3 linked regions of the Arabidopsis thaliana genome follow. The protein of the gene in region 1 interacts with the protein of each later gene in a pairwise test. Each region holds a gene or a part of one and is shown on either strand. Other genes may lie near its edges.

The links.
Region 2: the proteins of AT4G05400 (region 1) and AT1G27020 interact in a two-hybrid assay, tested with the Arabidopsis thaliana proteins (one large-scale study listed by BioGRID).
Region 3: the proteins of AT4G05400 (region 1) and DECOY interact in a two-hybrid assay, tested with the Arabidopsis thaliana proteins (one large-scale study listed by BioGRID).

Annotation. Positions count from the first base shown.
Region 1 is NC_003075.7:2,739,521-2,745,679, forward strand, and holds AT4G05400 (copper ion binding protein), read left to right. Parts: upstream 1-1,639; 5' UTR 1,640-1,735; coding exon 1,736-2,488; 3' UTR 2,489-2,501; intron 2,502-2,637; 3' UTR 2,638-2,679; intron 2,680-2,825; exon of another isoform or gene 2,826-3,221; 3' UTR 3,222-3,429; downstream 3,430-6,159. Other genes in the region: RFNR1 (root FNR 1), read right to left, coding at 1-120, 234-569, 801-854, 937-963; YAO (Transducin/WD40 repeat-like superfamily protein), read right to left, coding at 3,709-3,786, 3,901-3,966, 4,091-4,260, 4,403-4,604, 4,702-4,926, 5,019-5,361, 5,571-6,001.
Region 2 is NC_003070.9:9,372,732-9,383,941, forward strand, and holds AT1G27020 (plant/protein), read left to right. Parts: upstream 1-5,672; 5' UTR 5,673-5,903; coding exon 5,904-5,942; intron 5,943-6,019; coding exon 6,020-6,172; intron 6,173-6,605; coding exon 6,606-6,824; intron 6,825-6,914; coding exon 6,915-7,030; intron 7,031-7,126; coding exon 7,127-7,290; intron 7,291-7,381; coding exon 7,382-7,536; intron 7,537-7,607; coding exon 7,608-7,688; 3' UTR 7,689-8,059; downstream 8,060-11,210. Other genes in the region: AT1G27000 (GRIP/coiled-coil protein, putative (DUF1664)), read left to right, coding at 1,337-1,391, 1,497-1,558, 1,644-1,721, 1,801-1,876, 1,974-2,044, 2,157-2,258, 2,349-2,438, 2,566-2,640 and 5 more; AT1G27008 (uncharacterized protein), read right to left, coding at 4,057-4,167, 4,337-4,513; AT1G27030 (uncharacterized protein), read left to right, coding at 9,111-9,149, 9,226-9,378, 9,470-9,688, 9,777-9,892, 10,369-10,532, 10,640-10,794, 10,895-10,981.
Region 3 is NC_003070.9:5,011,212-5,022,187, reverse strand, and holds DECOY (decoy), read left to right. Parts: upstream 1-5,479; 5' UTR 5,480-5,686; coding exon 5,687-5,847; intron 5,848-6,076; coding exon 6,077-6,142; intron 6,143-6,491; coding exon 6,492-6,566; intron 6,567-6,661; coding exon 6,662-6,791; intron 6,792-6,885; coding exon 6,886-7,011; intron 7,012-7,096; coding exon 7,097-7,240; 3' UTR 7,241-7,513; downstream 7,514-10,976. Other genes in the region: AT1G14630 (XRI1-like protein), read right to left, coding at 743-1,014, 1,264-1,356, 1,517-1,568, 1,677-1,861, 2,115-2,193; TWN2 (valyl-tRNA synthetase / valine-tRNA ligase (VALRS)), read left to right, coding at 7,702-7,836, 7,956-8,021, 8,533-8,595, 8,722-8,900, 8,982-9,054, 9,227-9,292, 9,373-9,456, 9,588-9,665 and 5 more.

The sequences.
Region 1 (6,159 bases):
AATAGCTCGACGGACACATAGACTAGCTGTTTTGCCATCAAAAGAATCTCCATACCGTGTTGATGCAATCGAATAAAGGCGAACGTTATGAGGTGCACCAGGTTTCTTGGGATTCTCACCCTACGAGTCAAGAATAGAGCACATATAATCAGATATGTTACCAAATCTGAGAGACCAAATCATTTATCAGCAAAAGGCAATGCGTTATGAGCAATAGAGTTAAAATCACTTACAGGAGGAATGACTCCATAGCTTTGTCCTTCCCAGTAAGGAACATTACCATCATGATCAATAACAATGTGGCAAGTCTCTCCAGGTGCTTGTGGACCAACAATTCTCTCAACCGAAACAATAGTTGCAGTATAAGGCTCCTTAGGCCTAAACAAGTTTAAGGGAGTCTCTTTGGGATCTTCAAGTTCTAGAGGAGTAACCAAGACTTTGGATTTGCTTGATTGCTGAAGTGACATGCATATTGTGGACCTTTTTTTCACACCTAAGCTTCTAGATTTCGAATCTAGTCTCAGCAGAGGAGGACCCCATGACTTATCAGTGAAGCTTATACTTTGAACCTGAGGTACAAAATAATTGAGATTCAATATCATTGCTCAAGAGTTGCAAAATCCAGTTTTTTGTAATCTTCTACTTGTAAAGACTATACCTTTCAATACCAAATTCACAACAAGTCTACATCAGAACTAAACAACACAATAAGAAAACCAAAAGACAAAAACTTTGAGGACCATGTAATCATCTCAACGACAAAGATCGGTAATCTAGTGATCTAGATCGTTTTTGCTCACCTTAATCATAGATCGGCTCGACCCATCAATTCTAGTTGGAAGTGCAACGGACATCTAAAATCAAAAACCAAACTTTCATTAAATCCGAAACTTAATCTCAGGAACCAAAAAGGTTTAGAATGGTAAAAATGAAAACCTGAGAAGGAGTAGTTGAGAGAGCCATAGCAATGGAGAAAAGAGACGATAATTCTCCAGATGAATATTAATAATTGATCTCACAATCGAGAGGAAAAAAATGATTTGAGGAACAAAAGAAACAGAGGATGATTCTGGGTTTATAGTAAGAAGGTGAGGGGAAGAAGAAGATCCTTTCAAGGCCCAGAAGAGACAACAACAGAGCAGCCCATACTGACTGCAAATTTCTCAACTTTTTTTTGGCTCTCGAGAGATCTTAGTGGACAAATTGCTTTTTGTCTGTGTTGGATCTTCTTTACTTTTCACCACGTTCTTTGTATTTTACTTGTATTTGGTACTTGGAGGTTACAGTTTCCAAAGCCAAATTCGTTGTTAATAGTGAGAAATTTAACAAGTTGCATGAGACTGAATTCAGCAAATTTCTTCTCAGTTCTGGAAAAGTAAAATCGAATTTGTTTTCAGAAAGAAGCTTCGGTTATGTGGTGGTAAGCCGAAACAATAACCAAAAATTAAATCGAATTGAACCAAATCAATTCAAAATTAACGTCGGTTCTCATTCGGTATACAAAGAAATGGAAAACCGAACCAAGAAACCAAATTGGAGTTTTCTAAAAGACAAGAAAACCCTCGGTTTAAGCTGAATTTACAGTTTTGTGACATCGTGATTTATTTAACTTGATGTAAAACGACGTCGTTAGTTCAGTGTTCTTCTTCCACAGTCGAGAGTCGAAAACCCTAATCTCTGTACTCAAGCAACATTTTCAGACGAAAGCAATCAGAAACTCAGGTGAATCAGAAGCATGATTCGAGTTACGAAACCAAAAGCGATCATCGAATCACTGAGTTACCATCTTATCCAAAGATGCTCCGCAAGTGGAACTCCTAAAGGAAAAGCAAAGCTGAAGACAGGTCAGCCATTGAAGCGTAACAAACTCTCCATCAAGAAAGGTGGTGGCGGCGGCGGAGCACCTGTTGAAGGAGAGGAAGCAGTTAAAGGAAAAGGTAGAATTTCCGATGAGAAGCAGAAACTCTACGAGCAATGCTTAAACGCTCCTTGTCCTGTTCGCTACTTGACCCCCCAAGAGATCGAGCGTGAGGCGCAACGTGAGAAGCTAGGTTTGATTAGTAAAGAGAAGCAACGAGATATGGAGATCCAGAAGAAAGGAGGAGCTGCTTCAATGGGAGTCACCGATGAGCCGATGCGAATTGGGACGCCAGGTTTGGATTACATTTCGTTAGGGATTTTTGAAGCTGAGGAATTGCCTAAGTATAAGCTTACGGAAGAAGATGGAGAGAGACTTGCGAAGGAGTATAGTAAAGTGTTGATGAGAGAGCATAGAGAGCGTCGTGCAGCTGAAACTGCGCTTTTGAATTTGAAGAAATCTGCTATTGAGGCATTGCCGGAGAATCTGAAGAAGGCGGCGTTAGAGCCTGATTTGACACCGTTTCCGGCGAATCGAGGTATGGCTACTCTTACACCGCCTATTGAAGGGTATCTTGAGAAGGTTATGGATGCAGCTAAGAAGAGTTCAAGTAAAGAGAAGTTGAGATGATTTCGTTTAAAAGGTTAGAGATTTTGTCTTATCTCTTGCTTTTGCTTTGGAGATGAGCTTTGAATGCTTGTGTTTCGAACAATGGAATGATTCAGGATTTAAGAATGATGGTTAGTAGTTTACTGAGTCTTGGGTTTACTTTGTTGTAGAAAGTGTCTGAAATAAAGAGAAGTTGAGATGAGTCAATAAAGGTTAGAGATTTTTGTCTTATGCTTATCGTTTTCTCTTGTTTCTGATTTGGATATGAGATTTAACAGTTTGTTTTTCGAACAATGGAATGATTCAGGGTTTAGGATTGATGGTTGGTAGTATTGATCTCTGATGTCAAAGCTGTGTTCTTGGGTTTACTTTGTTGTAGAAAATATCTCAAAACTGATGGTTAGCTAGATTTCAGGTAGTATGATACTTATTGGTTAGTTTGAGATCGAGTTATATGCATATTAGCAAATAAGTGAATGAGAATCACTCACTTGTACATGAGTTAGTGTTTGCAATGTTAAAATGGAAACTTTTGGAAGCATGACCTTCCTCTGGAACTTCTCTGCATATAGGCTCGAGTCTTTGGATTATTATGTATCATTTTCGTTTTTTTTGCAGGATATGTTCTTGTTTAGTTATTCTTTCAATGCTGTTTGCATTTTTCTTGTTTCAAGTCTTCATTTTGTGGTATTCTATGTATGTTTTGGATATTTGGAACTTTCTTATCAATTCTCTGCTGGTTTTTCTTATCCAGTTGAAGCTATTAGTCAGAATGGAGCAGCAACGAGACCAAGAGACATCAAGAAATTGTCTCTAGGGATTCTAAGCTTGACTTAAGAGAATTCATTCAAGTAGTAGGCTCTTGTCTTTTTTGTTTGGAAAAGCAATCTTCTTTTCGCCGGATAAATTACGATCAAGTCTGTGTTCACTATGGATCTTGGTTTAATAATTTGCCTTTTCATATACTTATCTTCAACATTTGGGAAAACGAAACAAAAAGCTTTACTGAGAGAATGAAAAAATTGGGAACTGTTATCCTCTTTGATTCTTCAGAGCCTCAAAATGATAAGTTCTTATCTCTCGTATTAAGAAAAAATGGTACAAGGAACAAACAAAAAAGGGAGCAAAAACTTCAAGAGCTACAAGGAAATGTAATCCCTATATGACTTGCGATTAGATCTTTGGCTTTTTAGCAACTCAAAACTATCCATAACAACGCTTCATTTATCCCAATGAAATACTTATGCCAGTCTTAAGGGATGTATTGCGACACCATTTTGCGCAGATTTTAAGCATCCCCATCTTCCAAATCGAGTTTCCTGCCATGTCGATTTCACAAAACACGATCAGTTTTGAGATTAGCAATCACACAGACAAGAGGACAAAGATAGAAAAAAAGAAGAGGGAAGAGAACATAAGAGATGATCACATACCTGTCCAACACCGGCAATCAGAAATTTACCCGATTTTGCAAAAGCCAAAGAGTTGACAAATCCAGTCTGTAAGATCAAACAAGGCATTGCAAGGATTATTACTTGGTGAAGTGAAATGCATTAATCACAGTCACAAACAACAGATTCATCAGACAACACTAAGGAATATAACTAGTGAACGAAAATTTACCAGTGGAAGCTCGTACAAAGGTCGAATTGCATTAGTTTCAACAGCCCACAAACGCACAAAACCATTACCAGCTCCAGATGCAGCAAGATCACTGCCTCTACTAGTAGCAACTGCATTGACCCAAGAATTTGCTGAACAGTTATTGTTGACTGGTTCATGATCACCGTTTTCTGTTAAGCAAATAAATAAGAATTAGATATTTCAGAGCATCAGTAGCTGCAACGAAACAAAAGTGTTTTATAACTATATACTGCAATGTCAAGATCCAACTGCAACAGAGATGAAATGGGGAGGATCTAAATTAGGTTTCACCTAAGATTCCATTGGTGGTAATCCCATCAGGTATATCTTGATGTGCATTCTTGAAAACGAACACCGGTTTCTTTTTTAACATGCCCCAAAGAGCAACAGTTCCATTATCCGAACCAGACAGGTACTCATTATCACTGATGAAACAGCAGCTCTCAAGAGACGATGCAGGAGCTCGATAGATCATACGGGTGCTCTCAGGCACCTATAATCATATAACAAGACTTACAAATACAGAATAATAATAGAAACCTTATGATGATATCTTCCAACAGTGTTTACATGGAGGATAGAACTATTACCTTATGATACAGCATGGTTCTATCTCTTCCAACCGTAAGTGCACGCTCCTTCCTCAGTGCATCAATGGCTAGAATTTCACCCTGGTGTCCATGATTTTCAGTTATAAATGCTTTATCTTCTACGTTCCACACCTTCACAGTTCTATCAAATGAACCAGAATAGAGTTCTGAAGTTCCGTATCTGAAACATAGACAAGAAACTGTGTTCCGGTGACCTGGAAAGGCCTGTAGACACATAATTGTAATACCTGAGCGCAAGACTTGATGAAGAACAAATAAAAAAAACACTAAACAAAAACCAAATTTATTATCATTACCTGGACATGCTCTCGGGTACGAACATCCCAAATATGAACATGACGGTCAACTCCTCCAGTGGCCAAATAACGACCATCAGAGCTAACAGCTAAAGCAAGAGATTCTCTACTGTGATTTTTGTTACGAGGCTCCCTCAATTTCATCCCATGCGACTTGAGAATTTCATCACTTGGCCATATGTATTTGTCAGTTTTACCAGAAGATACATCCCAATGCATAATAGTACCATCTTTTGAAGCTGAAAATCCTCTAGAATCGTCATCCGATAAAGCTACCGACACAACAGATCGTCGGTGCTTGACAATAACACTAAACCCATCAGTACTTAGTGGCTCCTGAACCCTGAATCATTGAAAAACTTTAATCAATACTACTATCAACCAATCTTCAAAGATATCAAATTGACCTAAGAAATGTACAAAATCACTAAGTTTCTTCACAATTAAACCAGCTCCCTAAAACACTAACTACCCACAAACCCTAAATTACCAACAATCTCAAACCTAAACTATCTAATTTGAATACATTGAGGTACTAAATTTCTTCCTTACCTCGATGCAATAAGTCTTCGAATCCTACCACTATCCTCCTGCTGCTTCTGCATCAAACTCTTCTTAATAGTCTCATCGTCATCTTCATCATCATCATCATCATTATCCGCTTCCTCACGCTCTCTCCTCATCGCTTCCCTCCTTCTATTCAGCATCTCCTCCGCCAATCTCTTCCGCTTCTCTCCCGCCGTCTCATCAGCAAACTCATCTTCATCCTCCACTTCCCCATCAACTCTTCTCCCATCTTCATCTCCGCCAGTAAATCCGTTCTCTTCCGCATCAGAGTCCACAGACTCGATATCGTCGTCATCGTAACTGACTTTTCTCCGTTTCTTCGGCTCTTCCTCAAAAAATGGATCCCTTTCATTCGAACCCTTTTTACCTCCTCTCTTAAAGCTTCCTCCTTTCTTCTTCTCGTTGTTGTACTTCATTCTTCTCTCTCTCACTCCCTCTTAGGGTTTAACGATTTTACACTTTGACTCGTCTAGGTTTAGCCTCAGGGTTTAGTGGCGACGGAAGAAGCTGGAAAACGATTTTGTTTATTTGGTCGGAAAGTTTACAACTTTAAACCTTCCACTAGGTTTTCTTC
Region 2 (11,210 bases), on another chromosome or scaffold:
TCGACCAACTGTTATAGTTACTACCATCCAGAATATGAGCTACAATAGATAAACCTGGATGATCGGAGGAATGGAGGAGCAGTGGGTTTTCACCAGAGTCAGAAACCTTAAACCCATTTCCACCATAAACGTCCGATCGTTGAGCTAGCTGTTGTTTCAGTGTCGTGAGCTTCTGATCTTCAAGGATTGCTGCTTCACGAACAGATCTGACAGCTGAACCTTCATCATCAGGTGTAGAACCGCGAGTCTTCATTTTTCCTCCCTTCTTCACCATTTTTCTTCAAATCCAAGGTCGCGGAAAGACAATCGGAGAAGAAAGAAGATCAGAAAAGGTGTGATTAAGAAGAAATTGAAGAAACGATGGTGAAAATCACCAGATTTGTGTGAGGAAATGCTCTGATACCATATTAGAAATCATGAACAAAGAGAATTGTAGAATGATTTTCTATTTCCTCGAAGAATAAATGTGTTACAATGAGAGTATATATACAATTACTCTAAACCATCTAAACCAATGTACAATCTCTAAATAGCTAAACCAATCTAATCAAACCGGAATACTATATACAATCTAATAGTATAAGAGACAAGAGCTTAGGCAGTCAAATGTTTGTGCAAGTTTAAGGCGAAATCAAAAAGAGTAAGGAAGCGAAAAAAGAGAAGAGGAAACGAGAGGAGAAGCTAATGGCGGTGATACATCCTGAGAGAAATGCAAAGAAGAAACTCAAGTTAGCTGCAAAGAACAAGGCTAACAAGAAAAGAAGGATTATGAGCAATAAAATGGATAGATGGTCACACTCTTAAGCTCCCATAACCACATTAAACCATTTTTGTTTATGTTAACATAGAAATTATTATTTGAGATTAGACTTTTTCAGGTATTTATGATCCATTTTTGGTCTGTTACAATCCAATTCTAAACCATTGCATTTAACTTGTTTCTTAGCAGAAAAAAATTCCGACATTTATTTGATTACATAAACTTAAAAGAGATAAACTTTATTAAATTATGATTACTAAAAAAAATATTTAACAAGATTATCAATATGATTACGTCTGTTAAAAACAAAAAAGGAATTTGCCACGTGGCGACACTAAAATTACGTAATGTTCAAGTCAATCACCGGCGATGTGGCTTTTCTCGCCGCGAGTTGAGGCGGTTGAAATTGAGTTTCGAGACGACGTCGTTTCCAAGTAAATTGCACTAGCACGTTTAAAAAAAAAATGCAATAAGAAAAATAAACCATGAGTTCGTCTTCTTAATACCTAAATTAAATTCGATTTTTGAGACAAAGCTCGACAAGTCGTCGGCGGCGGTGTAAAAATAGTCGGAGCTATGGCGATGCAGGCCGGAGTTGGCTTATCCAGGATCTTTCTCTTAGCCGGAGCAGGTACTTCACTTTGATTTCTCTGCTCAATCTAACTCGCTCGTTTACTTACTGCTAATTGGGATCTGTATATCCTCCTGATACGTTTTTCGATTTGATGGAATCAAGGTTACACTGGTACGATCATGATGAAGAATGGAAAATTGTCGGATTTGTTGGGTGAATTGCAGGTACTTTTTTGATTCTATGCATTTTTTTTTTTGTTTCTCTCCTTGATTTTTTTATTTTTGACTAATTGATTTGTGCTTTCGATAGAGTTTGGTGAAGGGAATGGAGAAATCTGGAGAAGGGTCTGAGGGAGATTCTGATGTTTCTGATGCTATAGCTGCACAGGTACATAAACTCATATTCATTGGATATAGGAATATTGGTGAGGGATGGTATTGATATCTTTTGCAATATTGGTGAGAAGGTTCGCCGGTTGGCTATGGAGATTCGACAGCTAGCTTCGCAGCAACACATAACGGTCATGAATGGAGTTTCTGGTGGTATGTGAAGATTAGGGATTTGTATTTCTACTCAAATAGTTTTGCTAAGTGTGTCTCTGTGTGTGTGTGTGTTCATCAGACTCTCTTGTTTTTTCAGCAAACCTACAAGCCCTTGCTGTTCCTGCTGCGGCATTGGGAGCTCTCGGATATGGTTATATGTGGTGGAAGGTGGGATTACTAAGTTTTCAATCTCTTCTCTTGTGAATTCTGCTGTTTTGTTGAAAAGAGATTTCAGTGTTGTAAGGGAACTAAAAACTGTTTGTGATTGTTCACTGATTAGGGACTCTCATTCACTGACCTTATGTATGTGACAAAAGCCAACATGGCTGCTGCAGTGGCTAACTTGACAAAGAATCTGGAGCAAGTTTCTGAGACTCTTGCGGTGAGTTTTTTTTGTTGCTTTGTGTATGGTGTTTCTGGTGATATATTAAGCTGCAGGGTTAAAATTGGATCTTAATTGGTTGATTGTCAGGCTGCGAAAAGGCATTTAACACAAAGGATTCAGAATCTGGATGATAAGGTAGAAAAGCAGATCGATCTCTCGAAGGAAATCAATAGCCAGGTATGATAATGATGATGTTTACCTTCTCTTTAGTTCCTATGATTAGAGCTATTGGCTTTCATTGTTATGCATCTGTAGTGTCTTGAACAGTTTTGGAACGTGATGTGGTTGTGGTTATGCTACACAGGTTATTTCTGCTCGTGAGAATATCAGCTCACTTGAGATGGATTTGGAATCATTGCATAATTTGATTACTGGACTGGTGAGTCTTAGTTTTATTTTGTTATGCCATATATAAGCAATGCTGAATATCAATAGTTTTCTTCTCTTTCACACTCAATTGGCATGTGCTTTACTGCATCTGTCATGATTAAGGCGATTGCAGCTGTGAATCATTCAGTCTTTAAGATTAGATAAGGAATCAGAATCCTTCTCTATGGCATTTCACTCCTTTTAGTATATCTCCTAATTATTTTGGCATTTAACCTTGTTTTGCAGGATGGGAAGTTGGACACGCTGGAATACAAGCAGGTACATTCATCTTTTATGTTCTATTAAGCAGGCATCATTACCCAGAGAATCACCAACAATTGGTAACTCAGTACTGATTCTAATTCTGTTTCTGGTGGCAGGATGTCACAAATGTTTTCATGCTAAACTTGTATAACTATTTTGGAGGCAAGAGCACAAAGCTGCCTGAAATGGTAATTCAGATATGGGATATGTAAAATCGAATTGATCTCCCTATTTCTCTCCATAGTTATGACTATGTCTATTTTTGGTGTTAAAACCTAAAAGTGTTCTAATCCCTTTTTCTTTAATATCTATAACTTTTGCAGTGCAAATATATTGTATAGTTGTTTATCTTACAAAGCAATTAACTTAATCTTACAGGAACAGCTTCAGCTTCCTGTAAACCAGAGGGCTCGTAATTTGCTTGCAGATGTTGAAACTAAGGTGTCTTTTCTGTTTTATTTATTTAAGAAGTCACGTTTGCTTGTATTTAACGTGATTGTTCGCACTATTCTAACAAAATAAATGGAAACTTCTTCTCTTGCTGATAACAATATTTCGTCCAATCTGTTTCAGGGTCTGAAAAACTTGGCTGAAGAGCTGTTTAAAAGCAATGGCACACAGGTGACAACCACAGTGAAACAAATCAGTTTGAGTAAAGTGAATGTGAAGTCGAGGCCATTGTTATCAAGGTTTGGTCACTTTGCTTCACTGTCTCTGTCTTGTGAGTTTCATATGTTGATATAATAGAGGTGTGATAAAGGAAATGTGAATGCAGGGCTGCTTCAGCTAAGTGTTGATATGGAAGTTTTCCTGATGGCGGTTTGGCTTGCGGGATGTATATAACAAAACTCTTACTTATACAAATGGTCTCGTGAGCCGTAGAATGCTCTCTTACATCTATTCGTTGGTTTGGCTTTTTTCCCCCAAAACTTGGGTCTTATGATATTTTGGTTTGCACTTTGGAGGTTTTTCCTCGAATTGGAGTTTGTTTATTGACATGTGTAGTGTCCACTTTTGAACTTTGACGCAATTTAAAATAAAGTACATGTGGGGAATAATTATATTATACCTAATCATGTGATGCATGTTTGCAATAAAAGTGGTTAATAGGTTAAAAGTTTATGGTGTTTCCATAGATGTATGTACAGAGTTAAATAATCAACTATTTCTGGATCAATACATTTAAAAGAGGGTGATAAATAACTGGGATGCCGCGACATGACGGGCAAGTGGAGCATAACTGAAACCACTTGTCAATGCAAAAAGCGTGGAACTGATGTCCACAATGTGGCAACACTCTCACAATGTCACTAACCATGTAATCCTCAAGACATATCACACATCTACTATTACATAACCTCACACCACATTCCTGCGAGAATGTTAATTTCGGGAGAGACTTCAAAATCTCCTTCTTCAAGGGTTTTGTTTTCTGCCTAAACCTGCAGTTGCAGTAGTGGAATAGAGACGGTGTAAACGATCATTCCGATTAAGAGATAGAGTGGTAATGAATCTGGTGACTTCAAGAAACCAACGATGGTCAGGTCAGGGTCATTAGGCAAATCTGCTGCTACGGCGGCTGCAGGGGAAATAGCGAAGGGAGAAGGAGGGGATGTCATGAGTGTAAGAGTCCTCGAAGAGATTTGCTGAAAGAAGCTTCCGACGAAGAGAAGATTACGATGTTATCAGGGCGTACGTATGTATGTGTGTTTGACCTTTTCTTGTTACAGTCTAAAATACCTTAGATTATTGAGAATTATGTATAGTTTATATTTCTTAATGGCGAATGCATACATTCTTTGTTTATGGATTTTTTTTTATAGGAGTTTACTTCCAATACCAATTTGAAGAAGGAATTGTGTATATTCCTATTCATTGAGGGAAAAACAATGTATTATTTTTATACATATTAGGATCATGCATAAAATTGTGTATTTGAATTACGTTAACTCTCTATTGACCATTGTTGAGTAGAGTGACACCAATAGAGAATTTTCTTTTTCATTTAAAACCTCTCTTCTTAATGTTATCTTCTTTTGAGTCCTTGTTCTCATTAACTTTGTTTTTCTTAAGCAAATTATAAATTATTTTTTCTTTTATTATAAAACGACGTCTATTATATTCTATAAGGAAGCCAAACCAACACAAGTCTAAGAATGTTTTGTTTGTACGCAGAAAAATGTTAGACTACAGTTTTATTATTCATAATTCATAGTACTAAAGTAATTTTTTGAAGAATGATTTTCTTTAATAAGGTATCATCAACATATACTACCAAAAATATTTAATTTATCCCACTAATTTTGAAGGCATCACGATTAATAATACGTGCTTAAAATCTTAATTCCGTAATAATGCTACACTTTTGAGAAATTTGTTAAGTTTATGATAGTTTGTATGATAGCCATCTTTTGACTGATCTAGTCGGACATAACCAAACACCCATTTACTGTTATTATCATCTGGAAACCCAATGAGAAGATAAGAGTTTTATGAAGCACACAAGTGAGAAACAAAAATAAGGAACATATTTGGTTGGATCTATCATTAAACCAAAGATAGATAAGAGGGAAACGAAACTGGAGTAATAATCAAAATACAATCTACCATGTAGATAGGGAAAATACTCGGTGGTTTTAGTTGAAAAATGTAAATAGTTGAAAGTTATCAAAATTTTCTAATATTTAAACACCAAAGTTGACCAAGATGGCAAAAAGGCAAGAAACAAGAAAATGAAAGACAACTATCGTTATGATACAAATTTGACCAAAATGAAGATATGATAATGTTTCCAAAATTCTCGATGCAAGTAGTTCGCTCAATTATTTGATAAGAATGATTTCCCCACTAGCTCAATAAAAAACAATTAATCCTTGTACGCAAGTTATCATAGTGAAGCATTGACACTGTGACCCTTGGCATTATAAATTACGAATTTAAGATAAAGAAGAGAAGAATCAAGCAAAAGTTGTGTTTCTCATAAAGATCTCAAAGATATTCCTACTACACATGGGTTCTCTTGACTTGCCTTACGCTTCATCGTTCAAGGTTTTTTTCTCAGTTTATATTTATAAAAATCAAATGAATTACTCATCACTATAACACACTAATTATGTTGTTATCAGGGAGGAAGTGAAACCTTTCTCCAGAATGTATTTGAAAGTATACTGAAAACGTATTTGAGGAAGAACCCGATGGCGAAGACGATATGGGAACTAGTTAAGTCGGTGGACAACGAAAAGATCTCTTACGACCACTTCTTTTTCAGGACATTTAAGGTATGAATTTACTCTTCAAAAATTTGGTGAAATTGTGTGCAGGAGGATCTAAAACCTTAACAAATTGGTCAAATATATTGATTAGCAAGTTCTTTGCAAATACGATTATAGTAAATCTACCTATTTAACAATTAAAAAAGTGGTTTTATACTTTTAATTGATGCCTTTGCAAATATATACTTTTCTTCAAGCTCATCTTGTAATCCTTGAGATCTTCTAACATTAACGGCATCAATTAAAAGTATAAGCGCTAAATGGTTTTAATTTTATACTTTTATGTCAGCAATTTTTGAGACCTGTTTTTTCTATTTTACCAGTGTATTTGTTAGTGGGCTCAAATTTTTTAATTTTTCTTTAGGCCCGAAATACTTGGGGCCGGCCTGATTGTATAAATTGATTTTTTCTTTTTTGCTTTGGGGGTGTATGGGTTTAGGTCGATGGTTATGGAATTGATTCCCTGGCGAGTTTTTTCATGGATTATGGATATAAAGTTGGAGGCAGACTTGATTTTCCAAAGAAGAAAGTACAAGTTCTCTGGCTTTCTCCTCCGGATGTTCACTTCCCCGATAATGGTTACGGTATTGGCAATGGCCCTTTGCCAAGACTTGTTATAGCTGAGCTTCTTGTGGAGGAACTAAGCCCTGAGTCACAGGTATTAGTGATCACAAACATAATGTTGTTATAATGAGTCTTTAATAATACATAATAACTTTTTTGTTGGTCCTAATTTCTGGTTAACTAGGAGATAATAAGGAAGTATTTGAAACCGGAAGGTGGTAAGCAAGCTGTTCTTTCAAGTACTTTGGGGTCTTTAATTTGGGAGAAGCCAACATCCACCGATTTCAATCAACTTGCCAAGTATATGTTCTAAGTTTATAATCAATAATCACACAGTATCTTTGATGGTTAGCTAATTTAATTTTTGAGTTTTGTAAATTTTTATAAATGATGAAGAGAAAGCGAATTTGCCGCATGGACGCTTGTCTACGGCTACACAATGAACCATCTTGCTTTCGCGGTTCATCGTCTTAAACACCGTTTCAGCGACATCAAATGCGTCAAAGAGTATTTTGAAGAAAACGGTTTCGAACTCAACAAGGATGGAGGAGTCCTCAAAGGTTTTCTTTACTTATTCTTCACATGACATCTTTCATTTAGATTGGTTCTATTCTATAACCATTATTTAAGTTGTATGGAAAAATATTTCAGTGAGTGAAGACAGTCTACTGTTACAAGTGTCGGCTATGTCGGAGAAACTTGTGGTTGAATTTGCAGACGGAGTAACTCAAATCGTCCCGGCTTCATACATTGAGTTCGTTGAACGTCTAGTTCTTCCACAGTTCAAAGATATGCCGTGTGATGAGGTAAGAAGCAATTCACATTAATCGAATTCTTTTATAATTAGACATTTTTATATATTTCCGTTGTAATGCAGATCAAAGAGTTTCATAGACGCGAGGGCTTGGAGCAAGCTAGCGCCTACCACATAATGGAAAGCACCCGTTTCACAGCGTAAATATAGAACCAGCTTGTTTTGTTCCGCTCAATATGTCAAGTATGTGTACGTACTATTAAAATGTTTTGTATCTTATTTGGACAATTTGTGTGTGAGATATTTCTGTTCTTGTGTTGTGAAGTGACGGTATAACTTAATATTACCCGTTACCGACGAATAATGGAAAACAAAGTGTCATGGTGGGGTGTGGTATTTGTGGTGTTTTTGCATGTAATATCTTTTGATAGTAACGTGACACTTGATTTTGGTGACTCGTAACACCTCTTGGGGTTGAAGACCAACGTGCCCAATCTTTCATTTACCTTAGTGTCTTCTTCTTTTTGCATTATTGGATTTTGGTGTTTCACGTAGAGAAACTGACATCACATTGTCTTTTGTTAGTTTTTTTTTGTGTTGTTAACCTTAAGTGTTTTTACGTAGTTAATATATCTTAGAGAACTTAACCTTTTCATTTAGCTATTATTCGTTTATAATTATAGTTTGGATCTAAATTAGTCTAACAGTTGTATTATGTGTTTTAGACCATCGCATTCCTCGATCTTAACCAAATATCTTAACAATTATTTACAATAAAATTTTGAAACATGACATGTAACTGTTTTTTCACTCATAAAAACCTCTTAGCTAAGAAGCAAGTCTTTAATTTTTAATTTGTTTTGATTTATTTTTCAGAATTTAATTTTAAGATATTAGTCTAAGATACATTTAAGATACATCATTGAAGATGGTCTACTAATTAGTAGCTTAGCAATTTCCAAAGTTGGTTTAAGGATCAACTTTTTGTATCATTTTATATTAGTGATCAAAATAGTTACATACCAAAAATTATTTATTTCATTTAATATAGTTTTTACCCCCCACTAGCTCTGGAAAAGTCCAATTATATTCTTGTCGTTAGCAATCATTGATCCTTGGCTTTTTTTCCCACTCTTTCTAGCTGTATAAAATACGAATTTACGATAAGATATTAGAAAAACCAAACAAAGCTGTGTTTCTCTCGTACACTTAAAGCATCGTCCCGCAACGGTTCTCTTGACTTGCCAAACGTTTCATAATTAAATTTTTTCTCTAATTATGATTTACAAAAACAAAAATCACGATAATCCATGATCTAACTATAAGAGGGAGTAAGAGAAACATTTCACTTGGTTTTTCTTACTGAGTACTGATATAAATAAATATAGAATCAGACAAAGATTCGTTTGCTGAACGATTTTATATAAATTTAGTCCTTACCTGCGCAGCTAATCATCGTGAGCGGAGCGACTATGCGTCAAGAAAAAAAAACTAAAATACTAATAATTAAGTGACTCCTTCTCTCTCCTTTTTTTTGGGGTATGCACCAACCTTTATTTATAAGTATAAGCAAGAATAAATAAGAACAACAAAGCAAACGGCTCATTTCTCAGAAACAACTCAAACATGGGTTCCTTCGACTTGCCTCACAGTTCATCGTTCAAGGTTCTTTCTCAAATTTATATTTTTTTTGAAGGAGAAATATCTTTTGTTACGATAATACACAATCTGCATCTAACAGGGAGAAAGTGAAATATTTCTTCGGAATGTGTTCGAGAATATATTGAAAACGTACCTAAGGAAGAACCCGACGGCGAAGACAATATGGGAACTGGTTCAGTCGTTGGACAACGAAAAGATCTGCTACGACCACTTCACTTTCAGGACACTAAAGGTAATAATTTTACTCTTCAAGATTTGGTGAAACTAATTGTTTAAATTATTATTTTGTTTTTACTTTTTTTTCTTTGGGGTTATGAGTTTAGGTCGATGGTTATGGAATAGACTCCTTGTCGAGTTTTTTCATGGCTTATGGATATAAAATTGGTGGTGGACTTGATTTTCCCAAGAAGAAACTACGAGTTCTTTGGTTTTCTCCACCTGATGTTCACGTTCCTAATGATGGTCACGGTCTAGGCAACGGCCCTTTGCCGCGACTTGTTATAGCTGAGGTTCTTGTGGACGAACTAAGCCCTGAATCACAGGTATATATGTTGATCGCAGACACAAAAATTTCATTATGAGTTTTTAACATATCTAATTTCGCTTTTGTTGGTCCTATATATTGATTAGGGGATAATAAGGAAGTATTTGAAACAAGAAGGTGGCAAGCAAGCGGTTCTTTCTAGTACTTTGGGGTCTTTAATATGGGAGAAGCCTACATGGACCGACTTCAAGCAGCTTGCCAAGTATATATATTAACTTTCAATTAATAGTCATATATCTTTACTTGATAAATTTCAGAAAAGTAATTCATTCTATCAAAATCTAACAGCTAGCTAATTGTAAATACATTAATTTATTTTAAATAAATAAAAATGAATACTCTTACACGAACTATACTGTATTACTCTACTAGTACATATTTAGTAACTAACTATTTATTAAATAAGATTTTGGGTGATAGGTTCGATGGTATTAAGGACAAGTTTTGATGAACAAGTACAAAAAAATGGTAGTTTCTAACAAAGCTTTGAGAAATTGATAGATCAGCACTTAAACAGAAAAAAAAATGATAGATGAACACTATTTTTTTCTGAAATGTTTATAAAAAAAGAAGAAGAAGTAAGAATTGAGTTTTGTTTTTGTTTTTAAATTTTTTTATTTTATAACTATTTTAATGGTTAGAGCTAATTATTTGGAATTGTATGTATGAATGATGCAGAGAAAGCGAATTTGCGGCATGGACGCTTATCCACGGCTACACAATGAATCATCTTGCTTTTGCGGTTCATCGATTCAAACATCGTTTCAGTGACATCAAATTCGTCAAACAGCGTCTTGAGGAAAAGGGATTCAAACTCAACAGTGACGGAGAAATCCTCAAAGGTTTTTTAATACTTATATTCCCATCATGAGTTACTTTCTTGAAACGTTTCTATTTAAATATGTTGTTCAATAGAAATGATTAATGAATGTGGACATACATATTGCAGTGAGTCAAGATGGTCTACTATTTCAAGTTTCATCGATCTCGGAAAGGCTTCCGGTAACATTTGCAGATGGAGTAACTGAAACAATCCCAGCTTCATACATTGAATTCACTCAGCGTCAAGTTCTTCCAGAGTTCAAAGATGTGCCGCTTGATGAGGTAATTGATGTAAGAAAGAATCGCGAAATAAATGATTTGCATTTTTTCGCATTATTTTGTTTATTCAGAATTTTTTTCATTGCCATGCACTGTGATGCAGATCAAAGAATTTCATAGACGTGAAGCTTTTGAACTCGATAACGCCAACCACGTAATGGAAAGCACCCGTTTCACAACTAAATTCTAGAACCAGACTTGTCTTGCTCGACTTAGTATATGCCAAATTTGTGCAACTATATATGTGAGTGTGTGTTTGTGTGCAATCTTTCCATATATATGCATGTGTGTATTTGCGATATCTTTATGTTGTTATTTTACTGTGAAGGGACAATGTAAGCATATGTTATCTCTCATGATGGTAATTGTTGATTAGAGTGACCAACTTGTAAAATGGATCACATGATTGACGAATCATG
Region 3 (10,976 bases), on another chromosome or scaffold:
TAGTAGAAGCTTGGTAATTTTAAAATTACTAATTATAGACTTGTTTATTCTTTCAATTCAAATTTTAAAAGTAAAATCCACTTTAGATTTTTCGATATGATACATTAAGAATATTGACTATATGGTAATAATTAATAATCATTTAAGTATTTCGAACATATAGATAAGAAAGCTTGTTGCCTAAAATCATATAACCATCTTTGAGAATTTCCTGATAAGGTACTTATAAATACTCTCTCTTTCTCTTTTGTTTGTTCTTGCTTTTCAGCATATTCTTCTCTTTTGCTTTAATTTCTTTGTTATTTATTCTTCTTCACGCTTCGTTTATTTATTTGGTGTCTACTGAATTTTTCTTTTACTAAAGAACAAAAGGGTTGGCTAGGGGAAAAAGGGTAAAGAACAAAAAGCACGAACATGCAAAAAACATAATATATCAAACGAAAAAAAGAAGAGAACTTTTTTTTTTTGTCAATACATACAAAATCTTGATTTCTTAAGAAAATTTGTTTAGTAAGTTTCTAAGATATCTATTATCTTGATTCTTTTTTAAGAGGTTTCTAAATAATTAGAAGGAAGATTTCTAAGAAAATGGAAAAGCATGTATACTAATATACACCATTTCTCATTATATACAACAATAGGTTTGAACATGTCAACCAATGATTAGTCTTTTTGAAACATCTCCAGTACATATTATAACGACCCCCCTCTAATAGCCAATATTAATTACATATATGATATATCATCCCTTAGTTCTTATAATAGTAATTGTGCCCCTCCCTAATGTTTGTATCTTCGTGAATGCAACCACGGCTTTGCCTGATAGACCCGGTCCATCTGCAGAGACACACGGACGACATGCAAAGTCTCCAACCGGATGTCGAACCGGCCTAGCCGATGGCATTAAAATCCTCTTATTAATGTCATTTAGAGTTATATCTTCTTCTCGACCACCTGGTTTTACCACTCCAAATGGATACACCACCCTCTTCTTCTCGTCATAGTCATTCTTTTCTGTAATGCACAAGTGTTACGTCAGTGTTTATTCGGGATCGGACTTTGTGTTTAAAATGCTTTGCATGTGATTAGAAACACATAATTTTATTAATATTAAATATTTTATAAACGCAAAACGCAAATGAATAAAAGTGAAATTTCATGATTGATTTGTTTAATTATAGCTACTGTGGACAATTACGCATAAACAAAAACGAAAAAGTCCCATATAATTCACTACTTCGGAAGAAAATACAATATGCTTACTTGACGTGGACGAGGATGGTTCGAAAGAGTTTCTCGACGAAATTGAGGATTTTTCTTCAGAACATATATTGATGGAAGAATTTGGAGATTCGTCTGTTTAAATATAAGAAAATTATTCACAAAGATTATTCAATTAACTTACTATTTATATTAAAACAGCACTAATGTATTGATCATTTATATGTTAATAGTATTAAATAATAAATATGCCTCAAAAAAATATGGGTGATAATAATAAAGAAGTAGGTCTCACCTGCAAACTGACTACTCGTGCAACTATAATTCTCAGACAGACCCCAATGATTCTGCATTATTATATTCCGCGATCAACTAAATCAGTTTCATAACAAATGAAAAATACGGAATAATTACGTAAATGACAAACCAAAAAACAGAGTAGTAATTATATAAACCTGAGAATGGTCTAAATCGTTATCTGGTTTGTCCTCGGCGCCGTTGAACGAGAGACGTCTCCGTTTGCTTCTCCCACTGAATTCAATGAGTGCGTCTTCAAGGTATCCGGTGGAAACGTCCCCGATTTCCATCTCCGGTGAACAGAATATATTCTCCGGCGATTCATCAATGAGCCCCCATGCATCTACAAGTACATTGCATGGCCAAATTCCTCACATTATGTGTGTGTATAGAAAAAAAAAAGTATATATATATATATATATATATATATATCTTTAATGAAATTTTCTTGAATTACTAGCACAAATTAAATACATTCATCTTACAACGAAAATATACTTTTTCTTTGTTTGCACGAATCCACCAGCAAACTTAACATAAATCATTCTATAAATATACATAAAAGAACTGTAATATAAAATCGTTGTTGTCTATACCTAGATTGAAGTTTTGGTTGAAGAGTGATCCAAGGTTATGGAGATCCCAAGAGGGGAGAGAGTATGAAAGCTCACTCATATTTTTTTTAATGATTTGTGGATTGACTGTGAATGTGTTGAATTAAGGTGAGACCATGTGGCTGCCTATATATCTTGGTGGGTTGTGAGTAAAAAGTTAAAATAAATTGAAATTAATCCAAATAAAGCATGAAAATGGAAAAGAAAAAGGGGAAAACAAGTTAAAGCAGAGAAGAAATTTGGAAGGAGAAAAATCAGTACTCAATACAGTCAACTATAAAGAAAAGATAATTACACTAATGGTTGGACAGTCTCTGCCCATCAGGATTTATTTCATACAAAATAATACTATCAATTTTAGTGGTTATTTGTGACATGGTGAAATGACCATTTTTAACTGCATTTCTTACTAAGAAAATAAGTTTTCAATATGATTTGTGACTCCACCATTACAATAATTTAAGGTAAACAACAACTTAAATTGTGAACGATATTGAAATGCAGTCTGATTAACGAATCTCTCATTCGTGTTGTAAATTAATTTGTTATTCAACAAGAGTGTTAATACTTTTTCTTACAATACATATATGATGAGGTGTATAAATACAAACTATATGTCAATGAGAAATGAATTGATATTGACCAATGTGTAAAACAAAAATGGAACAAATGTAAACTAGGTTTTGAAATTTGAGTGGGGTTAGGTAATGGGGGACTGAATAATGGCTAAAGGCGATGAAACTATCATCATGATGTCTTTGTTCTAATGCTGCTCATGCATGTTACTCATGGAAGAGAGAGAAAGTGGTACTGTGGTAGATGCATGATATATCACTTGATTAATTAGTCGTGTTATGTATATAAGTATATTAGTACAACAAATATATGAATTTTTGTTTATTTTGTGGTTTGTATATCTACTACATGAATCATAAATTTTCAATCATATATATGAATATGATGGGTTTAATATGCGTAACCTACTTATCGCCAATTGCAATATTGTCCTTCCACTTAGAATTAGCTGATAGTGAATATATATATATATACACTTGAAAAACATGATTAGGACAAAAACGGGTTTAGTTGTTTAACTATCATAAAACGTAAAAACAAATGTCGTTTAAACCTATCAGTGCTATATATAATGATTTATAGTTACAATTTAGATAAGTGAAATGCGAAACTATGTAATCCTATATTCAACCATATTCTGCTTAAAATACAAAATTCTACATAGAATCTATGTAATCTGTATTGATGTGAAACGTTTAACATAAATACAACGACGAGATGCACCGGTTTGGTAAGATGGGTTATCAAAGTCATGCATGTTGACAAAATAAATGAATTCAGAGATACACATAAGAGAGGATTTCAAATTTGCAGCTTTATCTCTGTATGTATTATTCTTCAAAGCAAAATTTGCTTTCTGATTTGGTGAACAACCTGTTCTTCTATTATTAGGTACTTTTTTCCTTAGACTTATATACTTTCATTTCTTCTCCATCGTGGGGTCATGTCATATCCTGTCACGTTTACTCCATCATTACTTACCTTTTATTTCAATTTTTGTTATTTCTAAGGACGAGATAATATAGCACAACGCAAGCATAATTACTAAACACGACTTAAAACTTGATAAGAAATTTAGAGATTATCATTACTTACCTAAGATTCTTGAAGTTAATTGGATCGAACAAGTACACAGTATGACTTACTTAGCATTTGTTGACAACAAAAAGAGAAAATAACTTTGCGTTTGTATTAATGGGACAAAAAAATAGATTACTTGTCACCGAGTAAGAATGCTTTTTCTCGATTGTAATGCATATAGCCGGCATACGGATTTTCAGTGGGGTCGAGTGTAGGCATGCCGGAGGGACCCATTTGGAAATTTAGAAAGATTGCAACCGTATCATCTGTGGGTCTCTTCTTTAAATTCGAGTTTGAATGGTCCCAAATATATATATTGGTCAAATTTTATGATTGCAAATTTGCATTTACTTGGTTTTCTTGACGGTTGTCCCTAGAATTGAGAAATAATGAGTTGATATTTAATATTTTGGAAAATAATTACACACGTATCGGAGTTGTGATTTAGATATAATATCCAAAAGTTTCGCAAGTTTTATGGATCAAATAACAACTTTTGTATTCGATCATGTAGTAAGTTTTTTTTTGTTTGTTAATAGTTTCCAACTATATGTTTATTCAACAAGACTACCAATTGTAAGCTAACCACATTGGTCATCATCGAACTACTTGTCTCAAATTTTTAATGAAACGTTATAGATGTTAGTTGGTATTTAGAAATAGTTGATTTTGTAAAACCATAAATTATTTATTTTCATACGTAGCATTGAAAACGTTACCAATACGATATCCAATATTTAGTATGTATAATTTTCAAAATTTCAAACCATATGACTGATCCATGATCGAATCCTCTTTATATTTTTTTCATGGGTCCGAGTAGATTTTTAATATCTCATGTTGGAGAATCCTGAGATTATTTTAAACAAGAACCATTTACGACAAAAAACAGAACCATTTAGTGGGGGTAGATTTTAGGTAAGATTTTATAATACCATCAACCAAAAGAATTATGACGGATAAACAAACTGCTATCACTTAATTGAATCCTCTTGTTAATTATATATATAGACAGATTAGGAGAATTATGTTATTACCAAAGCTGTGCTATATTTGTCTTTGCATGTGTTGTTCATTGGACGGTTCACGATCGCCGATCGGTAATCATGGTGAATCAAACGGTGATGATTGAAGCACAGGTTTGGCCTCGGTCGGAGATTTTGTCTCTTGCTATTATTTGGACCCATTGCTTCTTCTTTGTTTTTGCTTTATTAATAATCTATTCGGACCACACACACAAAAAAAAAGTCAAGTCCACACAACATACTTTAACCAAAAACACAGATGCTTCGATTTAAAAAGAATCGATAAGAGAGTGTTGTCACGGACCATTCTTCTGCATAGTCCGAGACATGTCGCGTTGTTTTCCCAAGACTTTACGTAGATTGATAAGTTTATGGTTCAGTAAAGTGTATGTATTAAGTGATAAACTAAAGTTTTATGTTTTGATGTATGAGTCGAAATAATGTTACAATTTCTTCATCAGATTCAGCTATGTAACTTTGCCCAAAAATAAAATAAAAAAATTCAGCTATGTATAACACAGATTTTATACCAGTATCTTAAATATTTATTTTCCGATGAAATATATGTGTAGTTAATTTTCTTAAAGGTAATCTAAATATCTATTACTTTTTTTGTCAACACCGTAATTACATGAACGAACCAAATTTTCATCTATCCGAATGCATAGCAAACCGGATTCTGGTTTGGTTATGTAATCCAATTTTAATTAGATCAAACCGGATTCTGGTTATGTAAACCAATAATTTTTCGATTCCGTCGAAATTGTTTTACCTGAAAGGGGATTTGGAAAAACCCTCTCACTCTCAGGCTCAAGCGCCGGCGTTCACTCTCTAACCAAACTCGATTTCGTTTCTGGGTTGTGAGATTGAGAAATGCCGAGATCATCTTTGCGGCTACTAGCTAAGCCTCTCTTGGAGAGCAGGCGAGGGTTTTGCACGAGCTCTGATAAGATCGTAGCTTCGGTGCTTTTCGAGAGATTGCGCGTTGTGATACCCAAACCGGATCCTGCCGTTTACGCTTTCCAGGAGTTCAAGTAAGCTCTCTCATCGCTTTGCTTGTGTTCTGTTTTTTCTTTGGTTGAGGAATGGTGAGATTTTGAGAGAAAATGGGGGGAAAAGTATAGTTGTGTGATTCAAAGACTGCTTTTTTATGTTGCGGAATGAATAAGATTTGAGTCATTGAGCACCGAAATTTTGATTTTACTCTCTGGTTCATTTTGATTTTGATCACGTTTTGGTCTTGATTTTGTTGCTCTATGGCAGATTCAATTGGCAACAGCAGTTTCGTCGTAGATATCCCGATGAGTTCTTAGACATTGCTAAGAACAGGTAAAAGTTTCTGTTTTTCTCAATCTTCTTTTGATATCATCATGTGTCCAAGCATATAATCTGCTCGAAGGTTTCTTCTGCATTCAACTTTGTGTCATCCTTGTTAGTTATTATGACAATAGCAAAGAATGTTAGATTGGGAGTTTTTCCGAGTAGCTCCGTGAGTTATTGTTGCTCAATTCTTCAGCAGAATTACCTTGCCTGAAGTGAACTATATTAGAAGTGTTACATGCTCATAGATATATAGTGAAGGTTCTGTATAGGTCAGTTTCATTTTTCTCCAAGTGCGGTGAAGCTTCTATGAAAATTTCATTTCGTCTTTGGTTAATCTTATGATACGTGAATACAGAGCCAAGGGTGAATACCAAATGGACTATGTACCTGCTCCTAGAATTACAGAGGCTGACAAGAATAACGATAGGAAGTAAGTTGTTGGCACCTCTTAAAGCTTCCTGGCCTGTTGTATTTCTCTTCGGTTGATGATTGATAGTTACTTTTGGGAAAATGCTGCTATTATAGGTCATTATATAGAGCCCTAGACAAAAAGTTGTATCTTCTCATATTCGGCAAGCCATTTGGAGCTACTAGTGACAAACCTGTTTGGCACTTCCCAGAGAAAGTCTATGATTCTGAGCCAACTCTTCGCAAGGTGTTTGTTTGATTTGATGCCTCTATTTCAACACACAAGACCATAAAATTTCATTCATGTGCTTATTGTTAATATGTAAATTCGGTATTTGCAGTGCGCGGAATCTGCTTTGAAGTCAGTCGTAGGAGACCTCACTCACACATACTTTGTTGGAAATGCTCCAATGGCTCACATGGCCATACAACCTACAGAAGAAATGCCTGATTTGCCATCTTACAAGGCAAGAACGAACGTTAACGGGGTTTTACTAGTATTAGTAATTTCAGAAGCTCAAGATTTCTAAACTGAATTTTGTTGTTGTGTAGAGGTTCTTCTTCAAATGCAGTGTAGTAGCAGCATCGAAATACGACATAAGCAACTGCGAGGATTTTGTGTGGGTAACCAAAGACGAGCTCTTGGAATTCTTCCCTGAGCAAGCTGAATTCTTCAACAAGATGATCATTAGCTGAGCCACTCACACCACAAAAACTCCTATTTTCATCCCTTCTTCTCCATCAATGTCATCTCTCTGGTATTAGACAGTGTGAGAAGGTCAATGTAATAACCAAACAAAACCATGTCTCTGGTTGTGACGTGAAGGAAATTTTTGTTGACAGTTGATCTGAAGTACGTAGTTGAATGTAGTTGTGGCTTCTTTCTCAACCTTTTTTTATACATCTCTCCGATAGATATTATATTACGTATCTTGATAAGAAATCACACACTCGTTGATTCGAGAACAGCTTGAAATATATATTGAGTATTGACCGTCGTAATTCCAAGCCCACTGGGCTTAAAACGAAATACCCAACTTGTAACCCAAATCTCTAATTTTTTCCGGTTTAATTTCTAATTTTTAAAATTAAAAATGTTTTTTGTATAGTGTTAAAAAAAAGGAGCATTTCAATTAGCCCTAGCAGGTTTTTTGTCTATGTCACTACTCTTCCTAAGAAGAGCCAAGCCGTTATTTGTATCTTGTTGTTCAGCTACTCATTCTCGCTCCAGCTTCTTATCTCCGACGCTTACGAATCAGCTAGTTCGTTCGTTTCACGGTTCCAGAACAATGGTACGATTTTGTAATCACCGATTGTTTGTTTCTCCGTTAGGATTACCCACCGGATTTCGAAATTCTGCTGCTATTTGTTTAAGTCTGAGAATTGAATGTTTGTTTTCTGAATTTCGTAGTCGGAATCAGAGAAGAAGATCCTGACAGAGGAGGAGCTTGAGCGGAAAAAGAAGAAGGAAGAGAAGGTTTGACTTGTGATTTTTTTCCCCATTTTTCTCAGAAACGTTTTCTGGAGTCGATTCAACGTGGTTGTGCTGTTCTCTTTGAGCTTGATTTTAACAATTTTGATATCTAGAATCTCATAGACGAGTGTGATTGAGTTTATTGTTCAATCATGGGACTAGCTAATAGAGATTGGATAGTGATAACTATGGATTACCCATTTGGAAAATGGAACTGATGAGATCGTATTGTTATTTTTAAGATAGAAAAGTTTGAGAAACCGTCTTCACTATATCAGAATGAAGAAGTGTTCTACATTTAATAGTTTGAGTACTTGGCACAAATTCGTATAATCATAGTTTGTGTTTCTTTTGGTGTTGTTTTAGAGTTGTATACTTTTGAATACGCCTTACATTTCATTTTTCTTTGTGTGGTGGGAGTTAGTTTTAAGTAAAATATTGACTCAATTTTGATTTTTTCAATCTCATTAATTTCATTATATTTTGTTCGAATTCAATTGTAATTTATTCATAGGCTAAAGAAAAGGAGTTGAAGAAGCAAAAAGCTTTGGAGAAAGAGAGGCTGGCTGAACTGAAGGTAAGCTCTGAGGAACTCCAATTATTCATTTCGGGTTCCTGCTTCATATGTATGTGTAATGTGCCAGCCAAATCCTTAATTTTCCCTGTAACTTGAAATATTTATCATGGTGTGCTTCTCGTGTAGGCAAAACAGGCCAAAGATGGAACTAATGTCCCTAAAAAGAGCGCAAAGAAGAGTTCCAAACGGGATGCGTCAGAAGAGAATCCTGAGGATTTTGTGGACCCTGAAACTCCTCTTGGAGAGAGGAAAAGGCTTTCTTCACAGATGGCCAAACAATACAGCCCTGCTACCGTGGAGAAATCGTAAGTGTGTAGATCTTTTTCTTTGACATTTATCCCAAGAAGTTCCTCTAGATAATCTCTGTTATTCTGTAATTGGGTCAGATGGTATGCTTGGTGGGAGAAATCTGACCTTTTTAAGGCGGATGCTAAGAGTTCCAAGCCACCTTTTGTAATTGTAAGGCCTAATCCGATTCTTAAATTCATGCTCGTTCTGGATTCGACCTTCTTTTTATTGTCTTCTCGAATACTTAATTTGTGAAAACCAAATTGAGTTGAGAAAATCTTGAGCTTCTGAAATTATTAATACTATTTTTAAAGTTTCTTTAATCCTTTGATTGATTCTGCAGGTTCTTCCTCCTCCAAATGTGACTGGAGCCTTGCATATTGGCCATGCGCTTACATCTGCAATTGAGGTTTCATTAGCATATTGTTTGGTGCTATAGCTGTCTATTGTTCCTCCCGATGATCAACGGCTTAATACTTGTTGATGCAGGATACAATTATTCGTTGGAAGAGAATGTCTGGGTATAATGCTTTGTGGGTACCCGGGGTTGACCATGCTGGTATAGCTACACAGGTGAGCCCCAATCTCATCTCCCATATTAGTTGAAGTTTCAGCCTATAGAGTGAATCCTCGTTGGGCTACAGGCTTGTAGCTTTATCTTATACACATTGTATATTTTTTTTTTACTTGGATGTACATTCTAGGTGGTGGTCGAGAAAAAGATCATGCGTGATAGAGGCATGACTAGGCATGATGTTGGCCGTGAAGAATTCGTAAAGGAAGTGAGTTGAAAATTTAAAATATGTTGATGAATAGTTTCCTTTTTTCATTATACAAAAATTCTTGTTTTGCTTGTGATCATGGAAAAGGTGTGGAAGTGGAAGAACCAGTACGGCGGTACAATTCTAACACAGCTACGGCGACTAGGAGCTTCTCTCGACTGGTCTCGTGAGGTAATATCCAGTAATTTGACCTTTCTTGGATAAATGTTATAGAAAATTGGCTGTTTTATTTATTTCGCCACTAGGTGAACATATATGTAAATGATATTTTTTATCTTCACTTGTGTCCCTGGGCTATCCATCTTACGGATGTGTTTCGGCCTGTAAATTTATAGTGTTTTACAATGGACGAGCAAAGATCAAAAGCTGTCACTGAGGCCTTTGTACGGTTATACAAAGAAGGGCTTATATATAGGTATGTTTAAGTCTGACTTTGTTCTTTGATGCAAGCTATAGAATTCCTGTAGATGGAAACAGTAATATACCGAAATTAGGATTATAGGACCATTTTACCTTTTTCAGTTATCTTGTTGTAAGAAAGAACATTTGACTGAAGGTATACCATGGCTTCTGCAGGGATATTCGGCTTGTTAATTGGGATTGTATTTTGAGAACAGCCATATCTGATGTTGAGGTAAGTCAGCAGCAACTGTTAGACTAAGATTGTTGGAGGGCATCCTGTTTATGTGGAGTGTCTAATATCTGTAGGTTGAGTATATCGACATTAAAGAAAAAACGCTACTAAAAGTTCCTGGCTATGAGAAGCCAGTAGAATTTGGTCTTCTTACCTCGTTTGCTTACCCTCTGGAGGGAGGCTTGGGAGAGGTAATTGTTGCCACTACCAGGGTGGAAACGATGCTTGGGGATACTGCTATTGCTATTCATCCTGATGATGCAAGATACAAGCATCTTCATGGGAAATTTGCTGTGCACCCATTTAATGGGCGGAAGTTACCTATTATCTGTGATGGAATACTTGTTGATCCAAATTTTGGTACTGGTTGTGTTAAGGTATACCTCTACCTTATATATTTGATGCTGGGTTTCTGCCCCTATTAGTTGTGTTTCTTGTGTCAAAGTTACTTAATTCTTATTTTGTAGATTACTCCTGCCCATGATCCCAATGACTGTGAGGTTGGAAAGCGCCACAAGCTGGAATTTATAAATATATTCACAGATGATGGAAAAATCAACACAAATGGTGGGTCTGACTTCGCAGGGATGCCACGCTTTGCAGCTCGTGAGGCAGTTGTTGAAGCTCTGCAGAAGCAGGTAACTTTCTCTAACTCTTCACATAACATATATAATTTT